2 linked regions of the Stegostoma tigrinum genome follow. The protein of the gene in region 1 interacts with the protein of each later gene in a pairwise test. Links are inferred from orthologs where the notes say so. Each region holds a gene or a part of one and is shown in the gene's direction. Other genes may lie near its edges.

Evidence for each region.
Region 2: the proteins of spg21 (region 1) and s100b interact in binary tests that used the Homo sapiens proteins (3 or more experiments, as listed by UniProt). The two-hybrid records come from large-scale screens. The link is inferred for Stegostoma tigrinum from reciprocal best matches to the Homo sapiens genes SPG21 and S100B.

The regions. Positions count from the first base shown.
Region 1 is NC_081386.1:721,247-728,193, reverse strand, and holds the start of spg21 (maspardin), read left to right. Parts: upstream 1-3,926; 5' UTR 3,927-4,007; exon of another isoform or gene 4,008-4,042; intron 4,043-6,947. UniProt on the Homo sapiens protein: May play a role as a negative regulatory factor in CD4-dependent T-cell activation.
Region 2 is NC_081360.1:22,921,842-22,929,633, reverse strand, and holds the start of s100b (protein S100-B), read left to right. Parts: upstream 1-4,782; 5' UTR 4,783-4,908; intron 4,909-7,792. UniProt on the Homo sapiens protein: Small zinc- and- and calcium-binding protein that is highly expressed in astrocytes and constitutes one of the most abundant soluble proteins in brain.

The DNA.
Region 1 (6,947 bases):
GCAAATGCCATCTTAAACTAAATATTCAAAACAATGGGTCTACTATTGCCTGGAGTTGATTGTGATGATTTGATTTAAAAACTAGGAGGTCATGAGGTCAAAGTCTCATGTTTATTTCATCCTTTTATTTGAGGGGGAAGGGAGAAATGGGGGAAGCAGAAGCAGTTTGGACTTATGCTAGGCACAGTTAACTAATATTGACTATAACAGGGAAGCTCTCATCTTATCTGAATTTCATTTTTAGTGTTCTTATAGTTTATTAGAGGTCAGGATTGCTGTATTTCCACACATTTCTGAACAGTGTCCAGGGTCTAGGCCCGAAACGTCAGCTTTTGTGCTCCTGAAGGATGAAGGGTCTAGGCCCGAAACATCAGCTTTTGTGCTCCTGAGATGCTGCTTGGCCTGCTGTGTTCATCCAGCTTCACACTTTGTTATCAAAGTGAAATTCCTGTCTAGTTCATATGATGTGTTCTATCAGCCCAGATTCATCAAACTGCCCCCCATGACACCATGTTCTGAATTCCAGAATCAATTTAGTTTTCCTCCGCTCAGTATTTCTTTTAGTGATAAGGCATTGGATTGGTTTCTTAGTAACAAATGGTAGCAGGCTAAAATAAATTGATTTATCTTACATTTTACCGATTGTGGTACTGTTTTGAATTAAAACTAAATACATCAATTTAGTTTTTAGCAGGTGAGTAGATTTTCAGAACTAAAGAGACTTACCCTGGGATTCTGGTATTATTCCTCTGTTAAATATGTTCTAATTTACTTAGTCATCTTTTCTCAGTTAATTTTTTTAAAGTCTCTAAACTAAAGTCCTTGTGACTTTACTCACAAAACCAAACAAGTCATTGTCTATAATAGGAGTGTGGTTATAATCAGTAATATATGTTAAATAGGCACCCGGGTTCGATTCCAGACTTGGAGTTTGCGCGTTCTCCCTGTGCCTGTGTGGATTCTCTCCAGGCACTCTGGGTTCCTCCCACAGTCCAGAGGTGTGCAGGTCAGGTAGATTGGCCATTCTAAATTGCCCCACTGTGTCCAGGGATTTGCAGGCTAGGTGGGTTAGCCATGGGAAATGCAGGGTTACAGGGAGGAGTGTGAATCTAGGTGGGATGTTCTTTGGAGGGTCAGTGTGGACCTGATGGGCTGAATGGCCTGCTTTCATGCTCTAGGTATGCTATGATGATTCTATGATATATATCTGGTATTCAATAATCCCTCTCACATTTTCGTCTGCATAATTTATGAATACCGCAAACGAGAAGGGACACAGCACTGATCCCTGTGGTACACCACTGCACACTAGGCACCACTTACACTTCAGCAAAACTCTCTATCTCCTATTACTAAGCTAATTTTTACTAAACCGAAGCACCCGGAGGAAACCCGCGCAGACATGGGGAGAATGTGCAAACTCTGCACAGACAGTTGCCCAAGGCTGGAATTGAACACGGATCCCTGGCGCTGTGAGGCTGCAGTGCTAACTACTGAGCCACCGGGCCGTGGATAGATAACTGGCTAGGCAACAGGATGCAGAGAGTTGTAGTGGAAGGGAGTTTCTCAAAATGGAGAACTGTGACCAGTGGTGTTCCACGGGGATCCGTGTTGGGACCACTGTTGTTTGTGGTATACATAAATGATCTGGAGGAAGGTACAGATGGTCTGATTAGCAAGTTTGCAGATGACACCAAGATTGGTGGAGTAGCAGATAGTGAAGGGGACTGTCGGAGAATGCAGCATAATATAGATAGATTGGAGAGTTGGGCGGAGAAATGGCAGATGGAATTCAATCCAGGCAAAAGCGAGGTGATGCATTTTGGAAAATACAATTCAAGAGAAAATTATTTATAAATGAAGAGCCCTGGGGAAAATTGATGCACAGAGTGAGTGTTCAGGTCCATTATACCCTGAAGGTGGCACGGCAGGTCAATAGAGTGGTCAAGAAGGCATACGGCATGCTTCCATTCATCGGACGGGGTATTGAGTACAAGATTTAGCAGGTTATGTTACAGTTGTACAGGACTTTGGTTCAACCACATTTGGAATACTGCATACAGTTCTGGTCGCCACATAACCAAAATGCTTTGGAGAGGGTGCAGAGGAGGTTCACCAGGATGTTGCCTGGTATGGAGGGCGCTAGCTATGAAGAGAGGTTGAGTAGATCAGGATTATTTAATTAGAAAGACGGAGGTTGAGGGGGGACTTGATTGAGGTCTACAAAATCATGAGAAGTATAGACAGGATGGGTGGCAAGAAGTTTTTTCCCACAGTGGGAGACTCAATTACTAGGGGTCACGATTTCAAGGTGAGAGGCAAAAAGTTTATTGAGATATGCGTGGAAAGTTCTTTACGCAGAAGGTGGTGGGTGCCTAGAATGTGTTGCCTGTGGAGGTGGTAGAGGCAGGCACGATAGTGTCATTTAAGATGTATCTCGACAGATCCATGAATGGGCAGGGAGCAGAGGGATACAGATTCTTGGAAAATAGACGACAGGATCTGAATCAGCGCAGGCTTGGAGGGCTGAAGGGCCTGTTCCTGTGCTGTAATTTTCTTTGTTCTTTGACAGACACCTCAGTACCTCACTCTACCGCAAGCCCAACAGATAACTTCACAATGCCGTACATGTCTGGCTTCCACCTTAAACATGTTAAGGAAGCTATCCCCTCGGGACAAGCCCTGCATATACACAAGATCTGCTCAGACAAGGAGGAATGCAATGGACACCTAAAGATTTTGAAGGACAGCCTCATAAGAATGAGATACAACTCTCAACTCATCGATTGCCAGTTTCAAAATGCCACAATGAGAAACCATTAGACACAACCAACAGAGTACCCTTCATCATGCAGTACTTCGCCAAAGTGGAGAAAGTACGCCATGGTTCTAGCAGCCTTCAACATGTCAGTGATGATGACAAACATCTTGCCAAGATCATCCATATGCCTCCACTTCTCACCTTCAAACAATTGCCAAAAATTAAACACACCATCGTTCACAGCAAACTACCCAGCTTTCAGGGCGACATCGACCACAACACCACACAGCTCTGCCATGACATGTGCTCTGCAAGACATGCCAGATCATCGACATGGACACTACCATCAAACGTGGGAACACCACCCACTACGTACACAGCAAATATTCATGTGACTCAGCCAACGCTGTCTACCTCATACGTTATAGGCAAGGATGTCCTAATGCATGTTGAGGAGACCATGCAGACGCTACAACAATGGATGAATGGACACTGCGCAACAATTGCCAGACAGGAATATTCCCTCCCAGTCGGCGAACACTTCAGTGGTCAAGGACAGCCTCTAATCTTGGGAAACATGGTTAGCTACCCACGTACAGGAGGAACTAGAGCAAACCATATATTAAGCTCTCTTGCCGACTTACCCCCATGATTTAAACCTTTATTTAATCAATTACTTTAGGAGTCTTCTTCCCTTGAGAAATTTAAAACAGAATATCGCCCTTACAAGCTGTAAAACACAAAATAAAAACTTTCTAAGGGCTCTTGTGATTCAGTGGTAGTGTCCATACTTTTGAGCCAGGAAGTCCCACCTCTAAAAAAAATGTGTAATACCATGTCTGAACATGTTGAATCGAAAAAAGATTTTTTTGAACTGAGTAGCTGCGCAGTCAAGCAGCTTCCACTTGCCCCACCCACCGTGCACAAAACCCCGCCCACCACGTCAAGGAGCACACCCACTTTTTTGCCCCGCCCCGCCCCGCCCCGCCCCGCCCAGCCCACGAACAACGAACACCCCGCCTTATCGCTCGCCCCGCCCACTGGGCACAGTGAGCCTGCTCCAGTTACGTCACCCCGCACACTGCGCAAAGGACACACCCCTTTATCGCCCCACCTTCGCCGCAAAAGACGCATTTACGCCTTGAACACCCCGCCCACCGATTGGAAGCTCCTCCCATGTTTGTGACCCGGATGCGTAGCGGGCTCATCACGGGACAATGATTTCCGGTTGCAGTTGAGTTTAAAGGTAAAGGGGGGGGCGCGGTTGGAACTGTATTTGTGGTAAGAGTTATTTGTGTTTGTTGAGTGGTGGGTGTAATAAGATGTGCCCGTGTTTGTGGAGAAGCGGAAATAGGGAGGGCTGCGGGGTGAGCTATTGTTCATGGAGTAGGTTACTTTTGTTTGTCAAGCACTTGGGGTGTCCTGGGCAGTGTTTGTGGGGAAAGTGTCAATCTAGAAGAATGTAGTGTGCGGGAACTGCTACCACCTGTGACTCAAAACCCCGTTTATAAACAGAATTGAGATGTGATTTTTTTTTGTTTTACGAGAAGCTAGGGAAGGGTAGATAAGTGGTTCTGTTTTGCTTGAACTGTCATTAGTTAAGAGGGATAACCTAAGCTGTAGAAACCGTTTTGGGTAAAAATGAGAAATGATGATGTCAAAGTCACCTTTGCATCTGGTTTGTAAACCTCTTAAGAAAATATTGCACTAAGGTGGAAAATTCTACAGGACCTTCACAGAAATTCATTTGTAATAATCATCGGAATTTAGAAAAGCCTGGTGCTCAAGGATAATGTAGATAAAGCGTTTCACGAACTTTTCGGACACTTCCTTGGTACGGCGTATTCGGAATCAACAAAGTTGAAATCTGGCATTCGTCATACAAAATGATTGACTAATGCTTTTATAATGATGGTATTGCTGGAGAACTGCACATGCAATATGACTAAACTTGTTCATTTAGTTTGAGTTGTGATATGAATGGATCTCTTGAGTCAACAGCATTGCCGTGGTTCTGGAGTCCTTTCCTAAAAGAAAATTTTTAGTCGACGTTTTGAGCCGAGACCCTCCTTCAGAACTGGGAAGGGAGTTAGGAATAGAGGGAGGAGGGATGGGGCTGGGGGAAGGTAGGTGGGATGGTTATAGGTGGCTGTAGGTAGGGCTGGTGGGGATTGGTCAGTGGAAAGGGTAGGGCAGATAGGTGGGGAAGAAGATGGACAAGTTATGTCAGGTCAAGGAGGCAGGGATGAGCAGGAGGTTTAGATGTGTGTTGGGGAGATTTTAAACTGGCTAATTCTGTGTTAAGGTCATTGAGCTGTAGGCTCCCAAAGTGACAATACCTGGCTGCTAACCACTTTAATTCCACCTTCCAGTCCCACTCCTATGATGACATGTCTTTCCTGGGCTGCCACCAGTGACACAATGACACTACACACTTGCTTGAGGAGCAAGTGGCCACACCCCCCCGACTTATTTCCCAGCTCCCTACTCCCTACTCCCTTCTCCACTTCTCTTCTCCCCCCCCCCCCCTCCTCCACGTCACCCCATGCCCCCCCCAAGTTCTGAAGAAGGGCCTGAACCTGAAACATCAACTTTCCTGCTCCTCTGCTGCCTGACCTGCTGTGTTCCTCCAGCTCCATACTATGTTGTCTCTGACTCCAGCATCTGCAGTTCTTGCTATCTCCAAATGCAATATGTCAGTACTCATTTGAAGAAAGTTAGGAATAGAAGAGCAGATCTATATCCTCAGCAGTACCAATCACTGGTCAGGCCTCATTTGGAACACTGACCAGTTTTGGGCTCTGTGTCGAAGGATGGATGCGTATGGCAAAGATGGAAATTTGCAAGAATTTTGCTGGGGATGGAGAGCTTGTCATGTAAGGAGTGGGTGGGGTCTCTGGACCTGAACTTGGAGTTTTGAGGAATGAGGGGTGATCTGATTTTAAAACCTAGGGAATATGAAGAGGCCTGGATACAGTGGACACGGTGAACATGTTTCCACTTCTCAGTGAGACTAGGAGCTGAGCGCATAGCCTCAGAGTGAAGGGATGACTGAGATGAGGAGGAATTTATTTAGTCAAAGGATCATGAATCTGTGAAATTCATTGCTGTAGGATGCTATGGTGGCCAAGTCATTGAGTGTGTTTAAGGTGGAGCTGGATAGGTTTCTCGATTGATAAGGGAATGAGAGATCATTGGGAAAAGGCAGAAGAACAGGGTTGAGAAACACTTCAGCTATGATTAAATGGCAGAGTTGCCTCGATGGGCCAAATGGACCAATTATACCCTATACCTTATCTTTATGATTAGTCACTATGGCGATTTCTCCATTCTTCAGTATTTATTTTGAAACTGCAATATATATCCTCAAGAAAATAAAAATCTACTGGATAAACAGGTCTGCAGCATCTGTGGAGAGAAAATAACAAAGTTAATGTTTCTGGTCCAGTGATCCTCCTTCAGAATGCTGAATATAGGTCTTCAATTGTGTGTTTTCATTCATACTTTAAGCTTATATCTCAAGGATTTATTGTTGATATAGTACTCAAAGGATATGACTGCCAAGTTTCTTTCTTGGAATTTCTTCCAATATTTTCTTGAGGTAAAATGCCATATTGATCTCAGCAAGTGTGAGAATATCTGCCACTTTAGTATCCTTCTGGCTTCCCAAACTAAAAGGCAACATTTTACTTTTTCACAAGAAAGCCCAACAGAGATTTCAGTAAGTATCACAAATGGCAGTTTTCATGTTTCTAGTATCTCCTAATGATGTAAGCTTCATAACACAACCCTTCATCTTTAATTTCAATCAGTCATGCCATAGAGTCATCTATCATGGAACAGACCCTTTGGCCCAACTCATCCACACTGACCGGATTTCCGAAACTGATATAGTCCCATATCTGTCGACCTCCCCTATTCAAATGTCTTTTAAAAGTTATTGTACTCTCCTCTACCACTTCTTCTGGCAGCTCGTTCAGTACACACGTTGTTTGAATATTCTGTTCACCTGAATGACACCTTACACCTTGGGATTAGTCATCGTTGTACTCAATGCTAATATTTTAAATCTGGCATCTGGCCTTGTTTGGGTGCCAGACAATTCAGCTTTTCGGTTGGATTTTGCTATTCTTCCATTTCAGTCTTTTAAGTGCCCGTGTTTTTGTTTGAGAGACCCTACGTTGAG
Region 2 (7,792 bases), on another chromosome or scaffold:
TGTTGACTGACAATTGGTGGCGGTTCAGTTTGCTTTACTTTTAAATCTGAGAGCAGGAGGCTCTGAGTTCAAGTCCCACTGCATGAACATAAATCTCTAGTCCAAGCTGAGGCTAAGGTAGAAGGCTGTTCCTCTTACGGCGCTACCTTCCAAATGACATTGCCACATGTCGGCTCGATGTAACAAACCTCATAACTATATTTTCAAAACAGTAGGAGAATTCTCCATGGTATCCGGACCAATATGTATCCCTCAATTGCCAATGTTAAAAAAACTTAACATTTACCTTATTTTGTTTGTGGCACCTTATTATGTGCGTATCGTCTATCATCACATTTCCATTGCAATAGTGACAATACTTCAAATGGCTTTACTGGTTGTGGGCTGCTTTCTGAAGATGTCCTGAGACTTTCTTTCACTAGCTACGGGATTGTAAGGCCACAATAAATGCAATTCAGTACAATACAATTACAATACAATATAATCATCCAATCCAATCCAAAGTGCAGGCAGAGAGAATAACTGTTAACAATAATCTAAAATTGATCCCAATTCCCATTTTCTAAAGTAGAATATGAAGGAGTATAAAATACAGTAACAACTTGTTAAAGGTTTCAGAATTTGTGCTGTAGTAATCTTGAAATATCTCATTACTTCAGCATTTCTGACTGCACAAGACAGGTAGAAAAATCCAGCTTTGGTTTGGGTGTTATTGAGCAATTGTTTACATTGTGTCTTCCAGTTGTAGTGCCAGGTTTCCACCTCAGTGATCATTCAGCTCTTTCTAAGCAATAACATGCAGATATCTTGCGGACCACGAGACAGGGGTCTGAAATATCTGTGTACCTGGCGTCTAAAGGGGATTTGTTTTACTCCCTATGTTTCCATTAAAATTGGACAAAGATGTGACAAAGTGTGACACTCTTCAAAATGTTTAAATCGAATCACTTCAGCAGATTTCATCCTGATGAAAGAGTGTGAGGCTGCATCACAAACCTGGTTGTGCATTGACCTGTCATTCATTAATCTAACTGACGTGAAATGTGAGGATAAGATGTTGGATCAAAAATAACCGTGTTAGTGAAACAGGGAGGGTGCCGTTTGTGCTTTCAACTTGGTGTGAGGCATATTGTTCATGCAGATCAGATCAGTTCATAGAGCGCCATTAAAGGAGAATCGGCTCCATGCACAAAGCTTCAGTTCTCACAACTTGCTCCATTTAGCTAAGATGAGCTCTGCAAAAAGTTGTGTGACCTATTAATCACCATAATGCTCCACAATGGAGCATATTTGCCACAGTTAATCTGGGTAAAGCAAACAGCCAGATGCCTTTCTCCATGAGCTCCTCCCATGCTTCTTTGTCATTGATTTCTGGAGCCCAACAGGTCACAGAAAAAAATGATAATGGCTGGTTCCAGTTCCTTTGAAACTTTCAATATGTACCAAAGGATCATTTTCAACACCTTGGGCTTTTCACTACTACATCTTGTTATGGACCAGACCAGACCTCCTCAAAATATATAAAATAGGTAGCCTAGACCCTAACTTTTTCTTATTTTAAATGTAAATGTGAAGTGATGTGGTCCAGATGCAATTCGATTGGTCAAATTACTCGATGTTCAGCAATACACAATTTATTCTAATACAACAAAAGAAAGAGGACCTTGGAATAACTTAACTCAATTGGAAAACTTAAGCGGATAATAGATTATTTTACTATTAAACATTAACTGTTCCAATATAGTAACCTCCCATAAAAATACTGAATGTCAAAAAGCAAAATCAGGAAACAGAATTGTCTCACATGCAACTCCAGCTGCCCAGGAGGAAAAACATCGGGAGTAAACTTAGAGAGTGTAGCCACTGGGAGAGATTGACTCCCTTCTAATCCTGCTGAGACCCCAGCAACATCTGCTGGGGAGAAAACTAATTATGGCTTCTATAAGGACTTGACCACCACCACCCCTCCCTCCAACCCACAACCATCACCGCTGTCAGGCTGTTTCAGTTGTTCCAACATTAAAAACAAACTCAAGGCTCCACAAGATGTTTACTCTAATGGTTTTGGTAAACTGATCATCACCCCTGCCTTAAAACCTCTCTTCTAGAAAAAAAACAGGACAAAATAGCCTCTCAAAGCCACAGCATTGTCACAGTCTCTTCAGAAGACAGAGAGAAAGAACAGAAAGCAAGATCCATAATGAGGGCTACCACAAATGTTGCTTTGATTAACACTTAACTCTAGCAATTTACATTCTTTACAAAGCCATAGCACCTATTAGTCTCCATTGACACAAAAATGTATGTTCTGTGCAATAGCATGCCGCGCGTTAATGACGACTGCTTCACCCTTCTGTCTGTTTTCAAAGGTGGCAAATAACACAGTGACAACCAGTTGTGCTTGGTGTTAGGCACAACTTGGTGTTTTTTACAACTTTGTGCCTTTTGAAAACATAGATCAAAAATCACACGACACCAGGTTATAGTCCAGCAGCTTTGTTTGAAAACACAAGCTTTTATAGCTCAGCTCCTTCCTCAGGCATAGTTTGAGAGAGAAGGTATAAGACACAGAATTTATAAGCAGAACAGTATCAACCCTAAAACTGGTTACCTCTTGCTGAATCGTTAATCAGTTCGGAAGGAGACTACTAATTAAATGTACAATCCAGATTCCTTTCAAGTCATTGTCCTGAGATAATTAAAGGTTTTATCAATGTATAAAAGAGGTGATATCTTGGGTCAGACAATGCATTTTAGGTGTGAGTTCTTGTTTATACTCTGTGTATGTTTTAAACTGGAGTCAGGTCTTTTCTTGAACCAGACAGAATGTATCTGCAACTACACAAACATCTTAGATGAAATAATTCATGTGTGTGTCTGAGAGACTGTGTGCGCACGCGCGCGCGCGCGCGTGTGTGTGTGTATATGGGTGGGTGCGTGTGTTGTGTGACAGAGGGTCTGTGTAAGTGTGTGTGTGTGTCTGTGTGTGTGTGTGTGTGTGTGTGTGTGTGTGTGTATGGGTGGGTGCATGTGTTGTGTGACAGAGGGTCTGTGTAAGTGTGTGTGTGTGTCTCTGTGTGTGAGTGTGTGTGTGTGTGTGTGTGTATATATGTGTGCATGTGTGTGTGTGTTTGTGTGACACAGGATAGGGATACAGGAAGAATTAAAAGGCATTCTGCTCCATAAGCCCACTTCCGCGCTTCAGTGAGATCGTAGCTGATCTTTGATCTTACTCTAAACCCTTTGCTTGCTATCCCTGACTACTTCTCATGAATAAAGAGACATCAATCTCAGATTTAAACTCAATAGTTGATCTAACCTCAAATACCATTTACATGAGAGAGCTCTAAGCTTCAATTACTCTTTTTCTGTCAAAGTGTCTTCTAATCTCATCCCTGTAAGGTCTATCTATTATGTACCAAGTGCTAAAATCTCCAAGCAGTGGAAAGAGTTTATCCCTGCCTGTTCTCCTTTAAGGACTTTCCAGGGCCACACAGCTGTTCCTGTATGGAATTGCACATTGGGCCTCTGTGGAATTCCTGACATAACTGACTCTGAAGAAATTACCCCAGAACTTGAAGATTCTGGTGGCCAGTTGCTCTATGCATGGAGCCTCCAGAAGTATCCATTTCAATCAGAAAATTCTGAGGGTCCCATTACTGTGAGGTAAACAGTTGTCGAGGAAAAGGTGGAAGGTTAAATACCTAAATACAACTCCTGAGTAACTATTCAGCTGATTGCTGCCTTCAACGTTACCCACCTTCTCAACTACACCTCTCCCAGTATAGTTACCTGCCAGCACCCTAAGCCTCACCAATGTCCTGACACCCATACACCCCTCCTCCACCACCAGTGCTGGTATCCAACTCCTCTCCCCATTAGGACCGGAAACTCTCACCGCTCCACCACTCCCCCCCACCCCCACCAACCTCACCCCCACCACCCCCAACCCAAGACTCAACATGCTCCTGCCACCTGACTGGACAGACCTTACCCCAATGGACCTGGCACCCGCCCTCCCACCCAGAACCTAATGTATTCACCCCCTCACCCTGGCACTTTGCCAAACACAAATTCTTGGCCCACTGTGCCCAACTGTACCTAAACAGTCACACCATTGTACACAATACCTTGCACCACTGTACCCAACCGTACATAAACCCTTGCATCCTGTACCCAACAGCGCTTAAACACTCAGACCCACTGTACCCATCTATCCATGAACCCTCACACTACTTGCCCTTTGCAAAGATTCTCTTTATTGTGAGCACCACCGGTAGCGTTCTAAAGCGATTTTCCCTAGCCTCCCATGACATCTAAGTCTGCTCACCTCATCGTGAATCCCTCCTGCGCTTTCTCCTTACTCTAAGGTAGGTTTGATGAAGCCGGATGCAAATTTCCAAACATGGGCCCAACCAATTATTTGGATAGGTTTGTTCCTCCACTTGGTTTAGCTTTCTCAGGAGACACGTGAGATGTACAAGAACTGAGCAGACGTAAGAGGTTATTGTTGTGCAACAGATATTAGGTCTGCCAACAGTAATGGAAGACATGCCATACATAATATAATTAACCTTCAAGTCTATTGTGTTATATTCATCAGAGACAATCTAGATCGTCACAGTTTTGCAGCTCTGCGATGTTCTACTTAGGTTCCAGTGAGATGATGGGTACTTTAAAAGAAATTGCTGTATCATTTACACTTCATTAAGTTGCAACTGATGTAGCCAGTCTGAGGGATGTGGCGAACCTCGTACACCGATTGGTCAGAACTATCCGCATAGGGACTGCAGTGAATTCAATAATAGCTTTCAACTTGCAACTCAAGAGAGGATAAAAGGATCTCTGTCCGACAGCAAAAAACTTGCAGTCAACTGTACGCTGAAAGTTAGCTGGAACCACACCAAGGTAAGGAGAATAAAACTGTTTGTGTGGAATGAAACTGGGATGCATCAATATGATCTGTGTCAGTTAAAGACAATCTCACTTAATGCCGTTAGCGGAAAATTCTGACTGGAATGTATTTTATTAAATAAGGTCCTTCTCCTGGGAGAATTGGAATAAAGCCACTCCTTAAGTATATTCAGGCTTGATTCAAAGCTGAACAGAGAGAGTCAAACCCACTGTCTGAGAGGGTAGAGGAGCGGGTTCATTTGTCATTTTAAAATGAGAATTGGGTGAATATTTGAGAAGGAAGAATCTGTTGGGCTATGGATAGACAGCAGGGGAGCGGAGCTTTATTATACTCTTCTTCTTTCCTCAGAATTAGCATAGGGTAGGCAGGCTGCCTGACAGTGTGATAAAGCCTTTCTTAGCAGAAGTGCTTGAACATCACAGAGAGAATAAAAATAGATCAAAAGAAAAACGCAAATGCTGAAAATCAAAATTAACAACAAATTAAAAAGAATGGCTGGTACTGATACAGCAAGATCAGTCTGAATCTACAGAAACATGGAACAGACAGTTAATGATCATCAGATCTGTTTCTCGTTTTTATGATTTTTGTTTCTTAAACTGTGTGCTGTTTCAAGCTAAGGACTCCAGTGCAACTTGTTGCAGAACGTACAACTAACTGAGTCTGTGGATGAGCTTGGAGGGGTTCACAGCATATGGAACCCAGTCCCCTTCCAAGCCCTTCAGAGTGACTGGCTCATGAAAGGAAAGCATTGCTTCTAAGCGCTAAACTTATGAGTTGTTATGAACGGGACTGTGTTGCTTGAAAGGCTGATGTAACTTTGGAAAGGGGAATGAAAATACACTTGAAATGCAGGGAGAAACAAAAAGGGTAGAATTAATTAGTTATCCCTCTGAAAGAGCAAGTTCAAACCTGATGAGTCGAATAACCCACTTGCCTGTTGTAAGATTCCACTTGATTGAGTAAAATATATAATTCATAAAGCATCTTGAAGACATTGAAGAATAGCCAACATGGTGGACACAGGATTCTTACACTTTTCATTTTTGTTGGTGTTCAACTTCTTCAAAAGAAATAAACTGCTTTTCAATGAATATGAAACAGGTATTTTGTAAATTACTGCCTATCCGAGCTGCTCCCTGCATGTGAATTACCACCCACAAGCTCCAGTTTACAGAAAATCATTCTTCATTTCCAAAACAGCAAAGTGAACAAGGACAAGGATCACACATCACTATTGCTACTTTCAGAGTCTTAAGAGCATCATTGCAGCCAGAACTCCACTTCTGCTGAGAGAATTCTGCTGGATGTGCTATTGTTCAGATGAGATGTTCATTAAGGCCCCATTCAACCTTCTCAGCTAACTTAAAACAACTTATGGCATTATTCTGATGAAGGCAGTAAATGTATCGAATGTTTCTAGCGTGCGTGTGTGTGTGTGTGTGTGTGTGTGTGTGTGTGTGTGTGTGTGTGTGTGTGTGTGTGAGAGAGAAAGAGAGACAGAGACTGTGTGCATGTGTTTTTGTTCCTCAGAATATGGCTGGCTGGTGTGTGCTCATGACAATTAAGACCCTGTGGGTGGAGTCTTTTAACATGGGATAGCTGGTGTCCTGCAGGCTATTATACATTTCTGGCTGACCACAAGACTGTCCAACTCTTATTACCTGTTAGAAATGCATAACAAGGATTTATAGGTTGACTACATTGGAACAGTGTCTACACTTTAAAAAGTATTACATTGGCTGGGAAGCAGCTTACGATGTCCCGAGATCTTAAAGGGTGCAATAGAAATGCAAGCTTTTCTTCCTGGGAAAATGAGTTATGCCATGGGCCTCCCTGATTAATTTCCCACTGCTACCTAACAGAGTAAACTTGAATGATGGAGCTGCTTTACTGCTCCTGAGCAAGACACTGATCTGAACTTGGTCCTTCAGAAAACATTTAACAACAATGAAACAACATAGCACAGGGATTTTGAGATGTTCCCTTAATTCATTAAGTGTCAATGTTGAAACATGAGAATCCGTAGACAGCCAATTGGTTGCCAGTCTCTCAGCAATGAGTTTGTTATTAGATTGTAGTCAGGAAGTCCAGGAGGTGATATTTGTGAAGTGACCAGAAATGTGGATTGTCACTGCATTAAGGTTTTATTTAAAATCGTACAAACCTGCCTTGTTTCTTTTGTATTGGGTATTGGATCCTCAGGAATCCTAAAGATTGACACACAAACAATGCCGATACAATAGCACTCCCTGTCATAACATTAAGTCATACTAACAAGTGGTCCTACTGTCCAATTTAAATGAATCAATTAAGCAATCCTTGGTGTTGCAACCATGGCAACATTGAATGAACCAATATTTCCTGCAATGAACAAAAGGTCAATCCACATAAATCCACTTTACTTTCAGACTGACTGAAAGTTTAAACAGTTATGCTTTGGAGCAAATTTTTGAGACAAAATATTGCCCAGACTGTCATCTCACAAAATCCAGTGATAATTATGGCAAAGGAAATCCATTTAACATCCATCCAGAGAAATGTTCATCTCACTCCGCTGTAACTTTAGTTACTTTGATTCTAAAGCTTTATGCCCCGCTTCTCTTTTTCTGAAGAAAAGTGTTCTTTTAACCCTGGTTTCTCGTAGCACCGACATGAGAGGACACATGGAATCAGCCTTTTAACTCTTCACTGCCCATCCTGCAGCTCATAAATGTCTTCCTTATTTCTTGATCAGCAGAAACTGGAGAGAGGGTTCAAAGTGTTACTCCATGAAAACTCTAAGCTGCTGTTGCCTCATTTGTTTATGAAATATGTGGGAAGTGCTTGGTGTACTTTGTGGTTTTTTGATGTCAGCCCAGATAAAATACAAGTCAA